Arabidopsis thaliana: one gene and its partner. The protein of the gene in region 1 interacts with the protein of each later gene in a pairwise test. Each region holds a gene or a part of one and is shown on either strand. Other genes may lie near its edges.

Region 1 (6,006 bases):
GTATGTTCTTGGTCTTAATCCAATGTTTTCTCGCTCTCATTTTCTCACAACTGCTCTGTGATTTCTTCTATAGGTTAGAGCAGACGTGACAGAAGGTCCTGATAAGCTAGCTGAAGTTATAGGTGATGATTCTCAAGCTGTGATTTGTGCTACTGGGTTTCGTCCCGGATTTGATATATTCACTCCTTGGAAAGTCGATAATTTCGGGACAGTGAATCTTGTGGATGCTTGCCGTAAACAAGGAGTGGAAAAGTTTGTTCTTGTAAGCTCCATCTTGGTGAATGGAGCTGCCATGGGACAGATACTGAACCCTGCTTACCTCTTCCTCAACCTCTTTGGACTAACTCTTGTCGCTAAGCTTCAAGCCGAGAAGTATATCAAAAAATCTGGCATCAACTATACTATAGTAAGGCCTGGTGGTCTTAAAAACGATCCTCCAACTGGAAATGTTGTCATGGAGCCAGAGGTAAAACACAGCCTTTGATATTTGTTTCATCTGTTTTGTGCTGGAAACTGATAAAGATCTGACCTTTGATTTTTGTAGGATACTCTATATGAAGGGAGTATATCGAGAGACCTGGTCGCAGAAGTTGCAGTGGAAGCTTTACTTCAAGAGGAATCATCTTTCAAGGTTGTGGAGATAGTTGCTCGTGCCGAAGCTCCAAAACGTTCCTACAAAGATCTATTTGCCTCTGTTAAAGGACAATAAACTAGAATGTAATGAGTCTCATGCTCAAACCTTTTATTTCTCTTATGTCTTGAGTACAACAAACAGATTACATAGACTTTTGCGCATAAATTGAGTTCAAGATAAGTATTGAAAGAGTTCCATTCAGTTTCATATCTTATCCATTTTGGGTCTTAAGAACCCCATCATCACTGGCGCTTCTTCCCGGTCGCATGTTCCCATGAGTGCATGACATGGTTCACGATTTCCTCGACTCCAAGCCCATGCTTCACCTGCCAATGTTTAGTAATCAAAGAAGACTCTTTTGTAAGTACTAAGGTCATTGGTTATATAAGTGATGAAACATATTTCTGAAGATGGCGAACCTGAGCAAAGACAAATGGCCCTCCATCACGCATGCGTAGTGAATCCCTTTCCATGACCGATAAGTCAGCCCCAACAGCTGCTGCAAGGTCAGTCTTGTTTATCACCTGCAGTTGGAAAAATCCACAAGAGATTCTTTCACACTACTATAGACTTGATCAAAAGGAGTAAGTGAAGAGTTAAGGCAGCATAAGCGCACCAGAAGATCAGCTTGAGTGATTCCAGGGCCGCCTTTACGGGGTATTTTATCACCAGCCGATACATCGATGATGTAGATGATATAGTCAGCTAGTTCTCTACTGAAATTAGCAGCTAAATTATCTGCAACACACAACACTAAGCCTATTCATATCTCATTGGTTCCTTGAGAAACAGAAATCTATATATCGTGCAGATTAACTATCAAGAACTAGCTAGAAATGAAACCTCACCTCCACCGGATTCACAAAGAAGCAAATCAGCCTTGAATAAGTTAGATAACTCCTCAAGAGGACCCAAATTGATACTGATATCTTCACGGATAGCAGCGTGTGGACATCCACCTGTTTCAACAGCTCTAATCCTTTCCTCAGGAAGAGCCCCATTCTTCACCAGAAACTCACCATCCTCTTTCGTGAATATATCATTTGTCACCTACAACGTTTACAATATCAAAATCTTATTTAGTCACATGAGTGAGATCGAGAAAACAATCTTGTGTTTGCCACTGATAATAATACTCACAGCAGCAAGACTATATTTGTCCCTCAAGAATCTACAAAGAGCAAGCATCAATGCCGTTTTCCTGAGTCAACAAAAACAACAATCCAATGGTGATTAGACTAAAAAGTTTGACACTTTTATGAAACCCAAATCTTAAAATAGCATTCCAAAGAACCCAGACAAGAACATTATCATAGATTCATGCTTAATCCTTAACCCAGAGATTAAAATTTGTTACGGTACCAAATTACAAAATCAAGCAGTAAATTTGATCATGAAATGATTACCCAGTGCCAACGGGACCGCCAATACCGACGGTAAAAGCTCTCTCAGAGAAGTTACGGTCGTGAAGCGGAGGAGCTCGGCGACTGAAGTAGCCAGGAGAGTAGATGGGTTCGTGTGAGTGAGGTGCGAGTCCATCGTGGCTATGGTACACCTTCCCGTCCTTCCCCACCCACGACGCCTTCCCTTCTCCGCCGTCTGATTTCCTACTTGACAGAAGAAGTAGAGAAACAGATTAGTGAGGGGAATAAATCGTATCAAGATCAGAACTTTACAGAGAAAATCAATGATAACACGAACTCGTGGTCATGCTCATGATCGTGATGATGATGATGGTGGTCGTGTGATGCCATTTCCGAGAGACTCGAATCTTCTTCCGGTAGCTGTGTTGACTTTGAGTAGAGCTACTACTGGGATTCTGGGATCATTAAGCACAGTTTTTAATGTAAGAATCTTTCTATATTTTTCTATCCTAAGTGAAAGGAGATGCTTTCTCTGTCGGGAGCATAAAATGACTGTAATACCCCTGTCATATGTTAAGTGTTTGAAGGCAAAATTACAGTAGAGGAAACGTATTTTAACTGACACCAAGTTGGTATCACAGTCCAAGACTTAAAATCTTTCACTTTAAAGAAGCGATGGTTGTTAACACAATAAAGAGCACAAAATATAGGAATTAAGGGAAAGGTTTTTTCATAAGTAGGAAACAAGAAGCATAAAATCCAGACAAAGTCGAGTTCACATTCATGAGTACGCCTAACATATTGAAAAACAAAAATAACCGATAAAATCCAAAACGGGAGAGAGCACAGCTTCAACATCGATTCCACCCCAAAAAAGAGTCAATCAGAGACGTTTTACATGAACAAGTTGGGCTTGTTGGCCTTGTAAGTCGTCTTCAGCTTCCTGCTTGGTGGTCTAACCTTGCGGAACACCAATGGGAACTTGATCTTGCTGTTGTGGAACTGTTTAGTGCTCTCTCTCTTGCACAGCTTGGCTGGGACAGTGGCTGTCTTGATGATCTGAATGCAAGGGAATCTGACACGGTGACGGGATGCCATCTCAGTGTACATCTGCTCAACAGCTCCGTTAAGAGTGGTGTCACGGTACTCCTTGTACATGTTGTGGTACCCAGTTCTACTCTGGTACCTCAACCAAATACCGAAGTTCTTGATCGTTGTTGGGTTCTTCTCATAGATCTGTGCAAACAATTTGGTAATAGATTACATTAGTCAAGAGAGGGGCCAAGGAGCAATCAAACAATATAAACTCATGATAAAAACGTGATATGGTTTCAATTTCGATTCAATAGCAAGTCGAGAGAATCAAGTAAGAGACTTTGGTGAATCTAAGTTTTCTCATTTGATGACAGACAGCAAATGAAAAGTATTAACCTAGACTAACAGACAAAGAAATTATCAGAATCAGCAAAATTAGAAGTATGATACAAATAGATTCAAAGCCATGAGAGATTTGCATGATCAGGCTATTTGAAAGTTACATAAAAGTATTGTATAATAGTCAGGCAAACAAAAGACTCTGCATTTATAGGTTAAACAAAGACGCAAACGTGATCAATCAAAACCCTAGTGTTCTAGTCAAGCAAATACATTCACTTTCCAGATAAATGAATCTAAGTGCCTAACTCAATAAGATATAAGAAGTCAAACGAGATTGCGTCATTTCACAAATGAACAAGTACCTCGTTGATGGCGAGCATCTGTCCATTACTCTTCTTCACCTTCTTGAGCTTCCTCAAGAAATACCTAATCCAAATAACACACTCTAATTAAAGATCAAGCTCATATCATTCTCAGCAGCAACAAAAATGGAAAAGAGAGAGAGAAAGAATATGATTACTAACCAGAACTTGGACTTGGCACGAACCTCGTTCGTAGCCCAGAGCTTCATCCTGTAAATCTTAGGCTGCACATCCTTCTCTGTCGGGAGAGCTCTTCCCACAACCTGGTACTGGTGAAACTGCAAATGAAACCAGACAAAGCTTAGATCAGATTCTTTCTTCGAGTCCGAAACTTGAATCAGCAGCAAATAGTGTCATTGAAATCAACAAGGAATCAAAGAGCTTACCCTGAAAGCACCCATTTTTCGTCTGGAGAGAGACAATGCGGTGGAAACCTCAACCAAATATAAGCGGCTAGGGTTCTTCTTCTTTATAAATGAGCATCTGCCCAAAAACCCTAATTCTAAAACTGATATCATAAAAGCCCAATGGGCTGTTAATTGTAATCAAGTCTTAGCCCACCCGAAATTTGGTTATTTCCTCCTCCTCATTTTATTATTTCTCTCTAGTCAAATTTTTGTAGCAAGTTTCAATATTATATCCTTACCAGGCCAAATAGTGCACACACACATACGGGAAAAAAAAAAAAAAAAAAAAAAAACCATTTTATTTGAAGAGGGGTGAAAGTGAAAATCATTAACCAAAAAATATGAAAGTGAAAAACTACCAAACTTTATCTGTTTAAAGCAAAACGACAGAAGACAGATGTGGGTTACGACAAAGCCCAAACACACATATATAGGTCCAATCCACTCTATAGTAGCATTGTGAGATCCAACGAAGTAAATTAGTGGGTGATGAGGACACGCAAACACGAGCGCAAGAAAGAAAAAAAAAAAAAAAAGGTAATCAAGGTCGTTATTGCATACTGTGTATCTCACACATTCATTGCATAATTGTGACACGCCAACGCCATTGATGAAGACTCTCGACGATGACAAAAGGACTTGTATATGATTAAATTGTACTGTTTAATCAAGATGCTCAGCAACTCCTATCCAAACATAATTGTTTGACAAGAAATCAATACATATGTCAAAATCATATGTCAGCATCTTCAGATATATTTTTCTTCGCATTGTAAATATTAGCAATTAAATCTCATTCTCATTAATTTAGAAAATAATACAATTGGGGGTTTATATACAACTTAACCAAAGGCTTAAACCATAAGCCATAAACCAAAACTTAAACCAAAACTAAGATTAATTTATAGAAATATCAATCTGTACATACTCTCTATACTATAAGATAACTATATACAATAATAGTAAATCTTCTCAGTTTTTACGTACTTTGCTTTTATGGCTAAATTGTAAATATCATTAAAATAAATAATCAGGTCTTAAACTTTGGTTAGTAGCTAGAACCTATATAATTGAAAGTGTGAAACCTTGACAGTTGACACAAAAAGAGAATAAAAAACTAGGAATCAAATTTTTTCTAAGAGAAAACATGGGTGACTTCATGGCAACCATAGTGCCATCAAATTTCGGAATTGTTTACTTTGCGACATCAACACTTTACTACACCTATCGTCACAGTGTTATTTTATCTTGCTAATCGTATAGATAAAATATTAATATTAATTATCTTACAAAAATGTAAATAAGAAAATGAAATGTAAAAATCTAACAGGAACTATAGGGTTGTATATGTATATTAGTATATCTTAACGATCCAAATGTACAATAATACCGAGAATGTGTGAATTCTTTTACGGTTTTGGCTTTCTGTCGTTATATACCACGAGGCGATATTGTTATCTCTATTTGAATCGAAAAATAGAGAAAATGACATAAAATACATGAAACACGTTATAGAATCACTGGGGTCCAAACAAAATAAGACAGTACAGATTAATGGCAAAACAATGACTTCTCAAATTCAACAAGACATAACGCTCTAGTGGAACTCACCTCACGAGACACATCACGATCACGAACAACAATAATAGTAATCACACTCATGAGTATTGACTTTGATCACCAATAATTTGTAACAAAAATCCAAATCAGAGGTTCGGATACGTTACGATGCGCTTAGACAAGAACACCGTGCACCCGTCCTTTGGCGATATCGTGGGACAGTATATGATGTCATCGCAACCGTCCGATTGAAGTCTCTTGAAATCAAACAACGATGAGAACATAGCGATGAAGAGCACGAG
Region 2 (7,585 bases), on another chromosome or scaffold:
TTTTGATAAGAAATACTTAAGGATTAAGGAGACACCGACATGAGATCAGATGCAATTATGCAGATATGATTCGCTTTTTAACTGTCTTTTTCTTTCATATAAACGTATAGAATGTGCGTGTAATTCTTGACTTTGCATATTGTTAATGTTATCAAACCAAATCATATCACTATATGTGATTCTGACTTTGATGAAGCTATTGTGTGAACGTTTCCATTTGTAGGTATAAAGTGTGACTTTGAATCTAGTGTGAACCATGTATACATAGATTATTGCCGTTTTTATATTTCATGGACGGTCCACGTCCACGTGGTGTTTCCTTATATACACAAACACGTCGTTTCTTTGACGGAGAGAACAACTTCATGCCGTTTTCTTGAAAACACATTCTCGACGTTTCATCATCCATTGAAAACGAAAGTAAAGTTCCGTTTAAGTTTTGGCAACATATGAACTACGTGTTGTCTTTATGAGAGACATTTCTTCTTTTTTTCACTTTACCTTTTCCTATCAGTAGGTCAGGTGTGTGTGCAAAACAAACAATGAAACTAGTTTGCATTAATGAAAATTTTTAACTTGTGGAGTTGGATCCAATAATAAGATAAATTTCATTCTCAAACATGAATTCCCAAATTTCACACATGAAATCTCCCAAAGTGTTCCCTCTATTCAACGCAACTAATCATTTTTTATGTAAAGAACTTTGAATTAACCCTAAGTGCAGTAATAACTTCTTACACAACAAGCCTATACAGTTACAGAGACACAACATTTCCCTCCAAAAAACCTCTCTATTATACAAAAAAACAAGAATCCCTCTTGATTCAAGAAACAGATGCATGTTCTTCTTCTTCTTCAGATTCATGTATAGATTTCATCTAGGACCAGAGAGCTCCATTGCTTGCACAAGTAAACTAGAGTCATCGGTAAGATCAGAGTATCTGTCTGAAGATGACATCAATTCATTTATCCTGTTGCTACATTTTGAAACACTGTCTGATCTTTGAGAAGCTTCCCATTTCTCTGCAAGTCCATCTCCTTCCAGCATTCGAACAACTTCAGACATTTTTGGTCTATGTCCTGGCAGGTACTGTGTGCACAACAAAGCTACTCTTACCATTTCGTCTAACTCAATCTCATCGTAGCTCTTCTTCTTCAACAACTCTTTATCCACAAGTAGCTCAAGTTTCTTCTCTTGATGAATCTTTTTAACCCAATCAAGCATCACACCTTTCTGGTTAGCCGCTTTACCAAACTCAAAAGCTCTTTGTCCGGTTACAAGCTCAAGAAGAAGAATCCCGAAGCCAAAAACATCTGTTTTCTCAGAGGATTGACCAGTTGAGAGATACTCTGGAGCAATGTGACCCACCGTGCCTCTAACCGCGGTTGTCACATGAGAATCTTGATGATCCAAGAGTTTAGCTAAACCAAAATCGCCAACCACAGCTTCACAGTAGTCATCAAGAAGTATATTCGCTGCTTTGACATCGCGGTGGATAATCTTCGGATCACATTGCTCATGGAGATACACAAGCCCTCTTGCAGCTCCTATGGCTATCCTCTTCCTTATGCTCCAGTCAAGAACAGGTTTTGCTTTCATTCGAGATGCAACGCTTCCATTAGACATATAAGGATAAACTAGAAGCTTCTCAGTTTGTGTGATGCAGAAACCGTAGAGTCTTAAGAGATTTCGATGAACAGCTAAACTGATCATTTCAACTTCTGTCTGAAACTGAATCTCTCCTCCCAATGCTCCTCCATCTTTAAGCCTTTTCACTGCAACCACTGTACTATCTCCAAGTATTCCTTTGTATACATTTCCATAGCCACCTTTCCCCAATAAGTTCTTACTGCTGAAGTTATTGGTCGCAATCTGAAGCTCCCTGAAACCAAATCTCCTCAGGTTTCCAAGTGAAACTTCCTCATGATGATTCCCATCTGTTGAATAAAAGAACTTTCTTTATAAAAAAAAAAAACTTTATAAGATTGTTCTGTGCAAGTAATAAACTGAGTAAGATCAAACCTTTAACATCAAAGAATGTGTTTTGGTTATGTCTTTGTCTCCACCAGAGAAACAAACCAACAGCAATGAAGATTAATGATACAGTCCCAACGCTGGATCCAACAGCGATTGCCATTTTGTGATTCCTCGATCCACCGGCGTATAAAGGAACTTAAAAAAGAAAGCAGTTTGTTGTTAGTTAGGTATGATCATAATACTAAGATTGAAAGTTTTAAAGGAAGTTCGTTATTTACCTCCAGTTTGATTCAAGTTCATAGACATAGGTATCAATGTTGTTCCATTGCAGTCTGGTTCGGTACCCGTTGGACATATCAGCGGGTTCCCAACGATGCTGTAATCCGAAGGGAAACAATGAAAGGTTATCATACGGACAAAGAGAGTGAAAGAGTGAGACATTGTCAATAAATCAAATTACCTAAACGTCTTTGCAGCAAATCTTGGAACAGGACCACTAAGATTGTTGTATGATAAATCACTGGAAACAAAAAAAAAAACAGATCAAATCTCAACATTTCATGTCTCTACATATGAATTTCTTTACTGGTTAATGTAAACTGAAGATTTATTAGCTTACAGAAAGGCAAGTTGAGTCATATTAGATAGTGACAGAGGAAACACTCCAGAGAGAGAATTGTTGTTAAGCCTCCTGATGATACACAACATGACATATCAAGATCACAAATTCCTTATAAAAACAACACAAAATTTAAAAGATCCATAACAAATTTTTACTATTCTTACAGATATTGCAGGCTTTGTAGATAGCCTACTGAAAAAGGAATTTCACCGTGGAAGAAATTATCAGAAAGATCAAGAGTCTCAAGCCTCGTAAGCCGACCAATCTCAGCAGGAATTTTTCCTTTTATGTTGTTGTTCTGCAACAGCCTGTAAGAGGAAAAAATCATCAAGAACACACACACACACACAAAACAGAAGAATTTAATCAAATTTTAAACTTAATAATCATTTAGTGAACAGTAAGTACTTACACAATCCGAAGATTTGTTAAGTTGGTAATGCTTGGAGATAGTGTACCAGATAAATTCTGACTTGGTGTGCCTCTGTAATAAAATTTATATCATTGTTTTCCTTGCTTGCTCATCAGTGTAATATACAGTATAAGTGTATCAATGTAAAATGTGAAACTTACAAGCCAATGACAAAGTTTTCAGAAGAACAAGTGACCATTGTCCAACTACAAGGATCAACAGCATCTCTATCCCAGTTATCAAGAACACCATGAGGATCATGTAATGAAGCTTTTATGTCCATCAAAGCTTGCACTGACGAAAATAAAAAACTCCCATATTAGTTTGGATCAAGAAGAAATATATACTTTTATTTGAATTCCCATCAACTAAAAATTCCAGAAAGACCAAATATCAAACACTTCATCTACGAAAGTGACAATGTAAAAAAAAAAAAAAGAGAGAGAATCCAAAGAGTGAGACTTTACAGTGAATATACCTTCAAAGTTAACACCTTTAGGAGAAAGCAATCCGTGAACAGAAGAGCAGAGAAGGCATAAAAATCCCAAGAAGCAAAAGAAAGATCTTGTTATCATCATCATCATAACAATAGTACTCTCCATTGTTGAAACAGAGGAATGAGCAGAAAACAAGATGTACTCAGCTTCCAGATAATTTGGTATTTGATGGAGAGAGAAAGACAGAGAGAGTGAGATTGGAAGAATCAAAAAACCAAATCTCTATCCTTTTTTCATTTCAATTTTGGTTAAAGTATAAAAACATTTCAACATCAAGATGAACCCACTTCACCAAAAGCATAACCTTTATTTTAAAAAAAACTATTTTTTTGTATGTCAGAAACAAGATATACAAACTTTATAGAGATACCAGATTCATTGGTAGTCTAAAGTGAAATTAGAATAGCATGCTTGTCGATAAAGTTTGTGTGTGGGGAGACCGTTAAAAAAGTAATAAATTTATATTAAAAATTTGTAAGAAAAGATATTATAAAAATAATTTTGCCCATATTGTTTCTTGTAATCGACAAGAATAGTCAGTAAAGCAAATCTATATTTTGTGTATTTCAAAAATTTTGAAGGGTAAAGCAGGAAATTAGATTACTGTTCTTTTGCTAGCTGCCACCCTGTCATGTTTTTGTCTATGGTTTCTAATTTTAGTTTAGAATATACAGTGTTTTTGTTACATTTTCCTATTTCTTAATTTATTTCACATTACACTTACATAGATTGTTTTTCGAGTGTTGAAATCTGATGAAAAAGAGTTGTTAAGTTTCAAGGGTATGATTAAATCACATTGTTGACTGATTGCTTGGTGTAAACGGAACCCAACAATCCATGGTTGGTCATGCATAGGCTAGACTTTATTAATTCCTCCGTATATAGAATGTTTTTGTATGCAATTTTTTTTTTTTTTTTTGATTAATATGTTTTGAGAATGTGAGAACTTCGATGAGAAGATTATACTGTATGAAAAACTAGGCTCAAGATACTTCTGTCTACTATATTGATTTTGTTGCCCACTCAAATTTTCAGCATCTTTGTCTTCTCGATGTGTGGAAATACGAAGATATTAGTACAAGTATTGAAGGATAAGCTTTTTTTTCTTCAAAAAAATGTTGTAAGTTAATTATTTATAATAGTCTTTTAAAAAATTTAGATCTAAAAGAAATAAATTCGATAAATCCCACTAAGAGCAACGATCACATTTAACTTCCATCAGGAAAACAAATCTGTATAGATAACAAATTTCAGAATACAACACCTTTTCTTAATAGTCAAAATGCAAATATTTTAACCCACTCTTTTTTTATTTGACTACTACAAGATTTATATTCACAATAAGATTTTCAATATTTTGTAGTGTGTAGTAATAATAGATGTATAAGATAACCCAGTATCCAAGTCCAAGACATTACAATTTGTCCAAACCTCGTGTCGTTTTCATGGGTTTTTGTCTATGTGTGAGTTGGCAGTAATATTATGACATGCATTTGCATTTGTTCGAAGTATATACTACTATATGATCTTAAAACGAATATGGTTTACCTGGTTAAGTGAAATACTTAATTATCATCATTCATTATAGTTATGCTGGCTTTTAAAGATTTCAATCATCTGAAATTTTGGAGAAGTTTTTTTATAATATTACATAAACTAGTAAATATATCTTGTAATTTCATTTTTCCCTTAACCAAATTTTTGAAACTTAACGTCAAATTATCTTGTTTCGAAAAGTTGGTTAACAGAAAAATTACACAATAATATTTGCTTAGATTCTGATTTCGATCAACAAAGTACGTAATATGTGTTTACTATATCAAGAAATGTTGTTTACTTAGTAAGAATACATGTGAATCATTTATTTTTCTTGTAATGGAGCACACATTAAAAATGATTTTGCAAGGTTCTATTTATTTAACTATATATATTCACATTCGTACATCATCGTTATCTTCATCAATGCGTACCGACCTGTAAACCAAAAGGAAAGAAACAAAAACAAATATTCTAAATTTGTGGTGAACAAACAATATATAAAATTTCCTTGTTCAAGAACTACTTTCATTCCTAGTCAAGTTTTTATAGTTTGGTCTCCACGTGACACGGTTTCTTAAAACTCGATTTATGAGAAACAATCATTAATATTTAATGCTTTTTCTCGTTGATTTGACGTTTGATGGTAAATGGGTTCTGTGACTTTCAGGGGAAACAAAAATGAAAATCATAAATTTTTATAAGATTACAAAACATGACATGAACTATTGTGCAGAATGCAGATAGGGAAAAATGGTTCCCAACTTGAGTCCTATGCCTAGGGCACTGAAGCTAAATTGTCTCAACTTCAATCATGTTAGGGAGACTGCATGATTGGTTATATTAGATTATTGGCCATAGTTTTATATGAACTCACGAAAGTTTTTTTCCCGTGATTACTACAGTCTTCAGATTTTGTAAATTAGTTTAAAATTTGATACAAAAGTTGTTAGTCACAACATATATATACACATTACACAATGACAAATTGCTCATCGTTTTATTTTATTTCAAGTGTTCTAAATCGGTTATGAAGATTCAAACTACTTCTGCCATTTACAGCCATTACATTGTCTATATATGCTTGGCAATGTATAATTAATTCGATACACCCGATTGTCTAAGACTTTGTTTTTTCTCACTTAGAGTTTTGTATTTGTCTTTTTTTCACTCACCTAATTGTCATCAAATTCTTGGTTAGACGAAAATGAGATTTTACTATAGATTATAGATTATGATTATTATTTGATATCCAAAGACGGTTTATATACTTGATTAAGGTGGCTAAAAGTATTAGTTTCCTTACACTGTATTAGGCCTAATAACACAAAATTAAAAAGTATTTAAGAGCATATGGAATGGAAGCTTTTCTTTTTTGAATATTACACTAACAATTCCTGAAATTAAGTGGACTGTTAGTCATCAAGTAGACAATAACAAACAATTTATAATCATAATGTTTCCTAGAATCCGTTGAAATCATGAAATTTTGAAATTAATTTGGGGTTCCATTTGAATAAAATACCTCAATAATTGTATTTGCATGGTCTATTGGAATATAATGATTATAACTAGGGTGAACGACCTGTGTTCCTATGGGAAGTTTCATATACACTCACAACTTCACAGATTTCGGACCTCGTCTCCAATCCACACCAAATGAAAGTTCTAAACCTCAGTCTCCCTAAATCAAAAGTTCAAATCTTCAGTCCACAAAATTTTGAATTTCGTGGTTTATCGTTGGTTTACTGTACCCGAAACAACATTAACCGTATAAGAACGAAACTAAATCGGATTAACACATAAACCAACCCGTTTTATTACCCAAACAACCCGACTAAATTCAGAAAACCCCCAATTCAAAAAATCCCTAATTCGATAGAACCCTAAAATTGAAAAATCCCCAGTTTTTGAATTCGATGGATGCGAATGAATTTGAGACGAATGCTTTAATCGTTCATCAGGAGGCTACCGGAACTGGTCCGCAAGAGTTTGAAGGAGAAGAAATTCTAATGGAGGACGATGTTCCTGACGACGAAGATCCGAGGGACCGAGACGCGTTTGAAATCGAGAAGGCCGTAAATGAGTTCAGAGATGAGCCTTCGATTCTTCACGACGAGTATCCGGACAGTGACAATGATGAAGATGAGGATGTTGTTCGGGAGAGAAAGCGTGAGAACAGTAGACGTGGAGGAGGGAATCTCTACTATCACCAGACATTCTTCAACGAGATAGCCTTTAAGGAAGTTGTACTCGACCATGCCTTGAAGACAGGATGCAACATTGCACAATACATGTATGATAAAGATAAGGTTGCTTTTAAGTGTGATGGTGATGGTTGTGTATGGCGAATCTATTGTGCAGTGCCTAAAAAATGTCCTAAGTGGAGAGTGAATGTGTTCAAGGATGTGCATACATGTATTCCAAATGGTGATTGTGAAATGTTGAAGGTTCCTGTGATTTCTAGGTTATTTTTAGATAACATTAGAGAAGAGCCTCAGTATTTCATGCCTATGAAGATTGAGGAAACCATTAAAAAA

Evidence for each region. The genes of interacting proteins can lie anywhere in the genome.
Region 2: the proteins of AT2G34480 (region 1) and NIK1 interact in a two-hybrid assay, tested with the Arabidopsis thaliana proteins (one study listed by BioGRID).

Annotation. Positions count from the first base shown.
Region 1 is NC_003071.7:14,530,024-14,536,029, forward strand, and holds AT2G34480 (Ribosomal protein L18ae/LX family protein), read right to left. Parts: upstream 4,387-6,006; 5' UTR 4,256-4,386; coding exon 4,124-4,255; intron 4,016-4,123; coding exon 3,900-4,015; intron 3,802-3,899; coding exon 3,738-3,801; intron 3,235-3,737; coding exon 2,893-3,234; 3' UTR 2,601-2,892; downstream 1-2,600. Other genes in the region: AT2G34460 (NAD(P)-binding Rossmann-fold superfamily protein), read left to right, coding at 74-466, 545-709; UREG (urease accessory protein G), read right to left, coding at 877-960, 1,054-1,158, 1,251-1,372, 1,483-1,684, 1,775-1,835, 2,041-2,244, 2,336-2,388; CYP710A2 (cytochrome P450, family 710, subfamily A, polypeptide 2), read right to left, coding at 5,851-6,006.
Region 2 is NC_003076.8:5,220,293-5,227,877, reverse strand, and holds NIK1 (NSP-interacting kinase 1), read right to left. Parts: upstream 3,945-7,585; 5' UTR 3,615-3,944; coding exon 3,491-3,614; intron 3,307-3,490; coding exon 3,174-3,306; intron 3,085-3,173; coding exon 3,013-3,084; intron 2,909-3,012; coding exon 2,765-2,908; intron 2,670-2,764; coding exon 2,598-2,669; intron 2,499-2,597; coding exon 2,439-2,498; intron 2,355-2,438; coding exon 2,257-2,354; intron 2,174-2,256; coding exon 2,024-2,173; intron 1,939-2,023; coding exon 875-1,938; 3' UTR 590-874; downstream 1-589.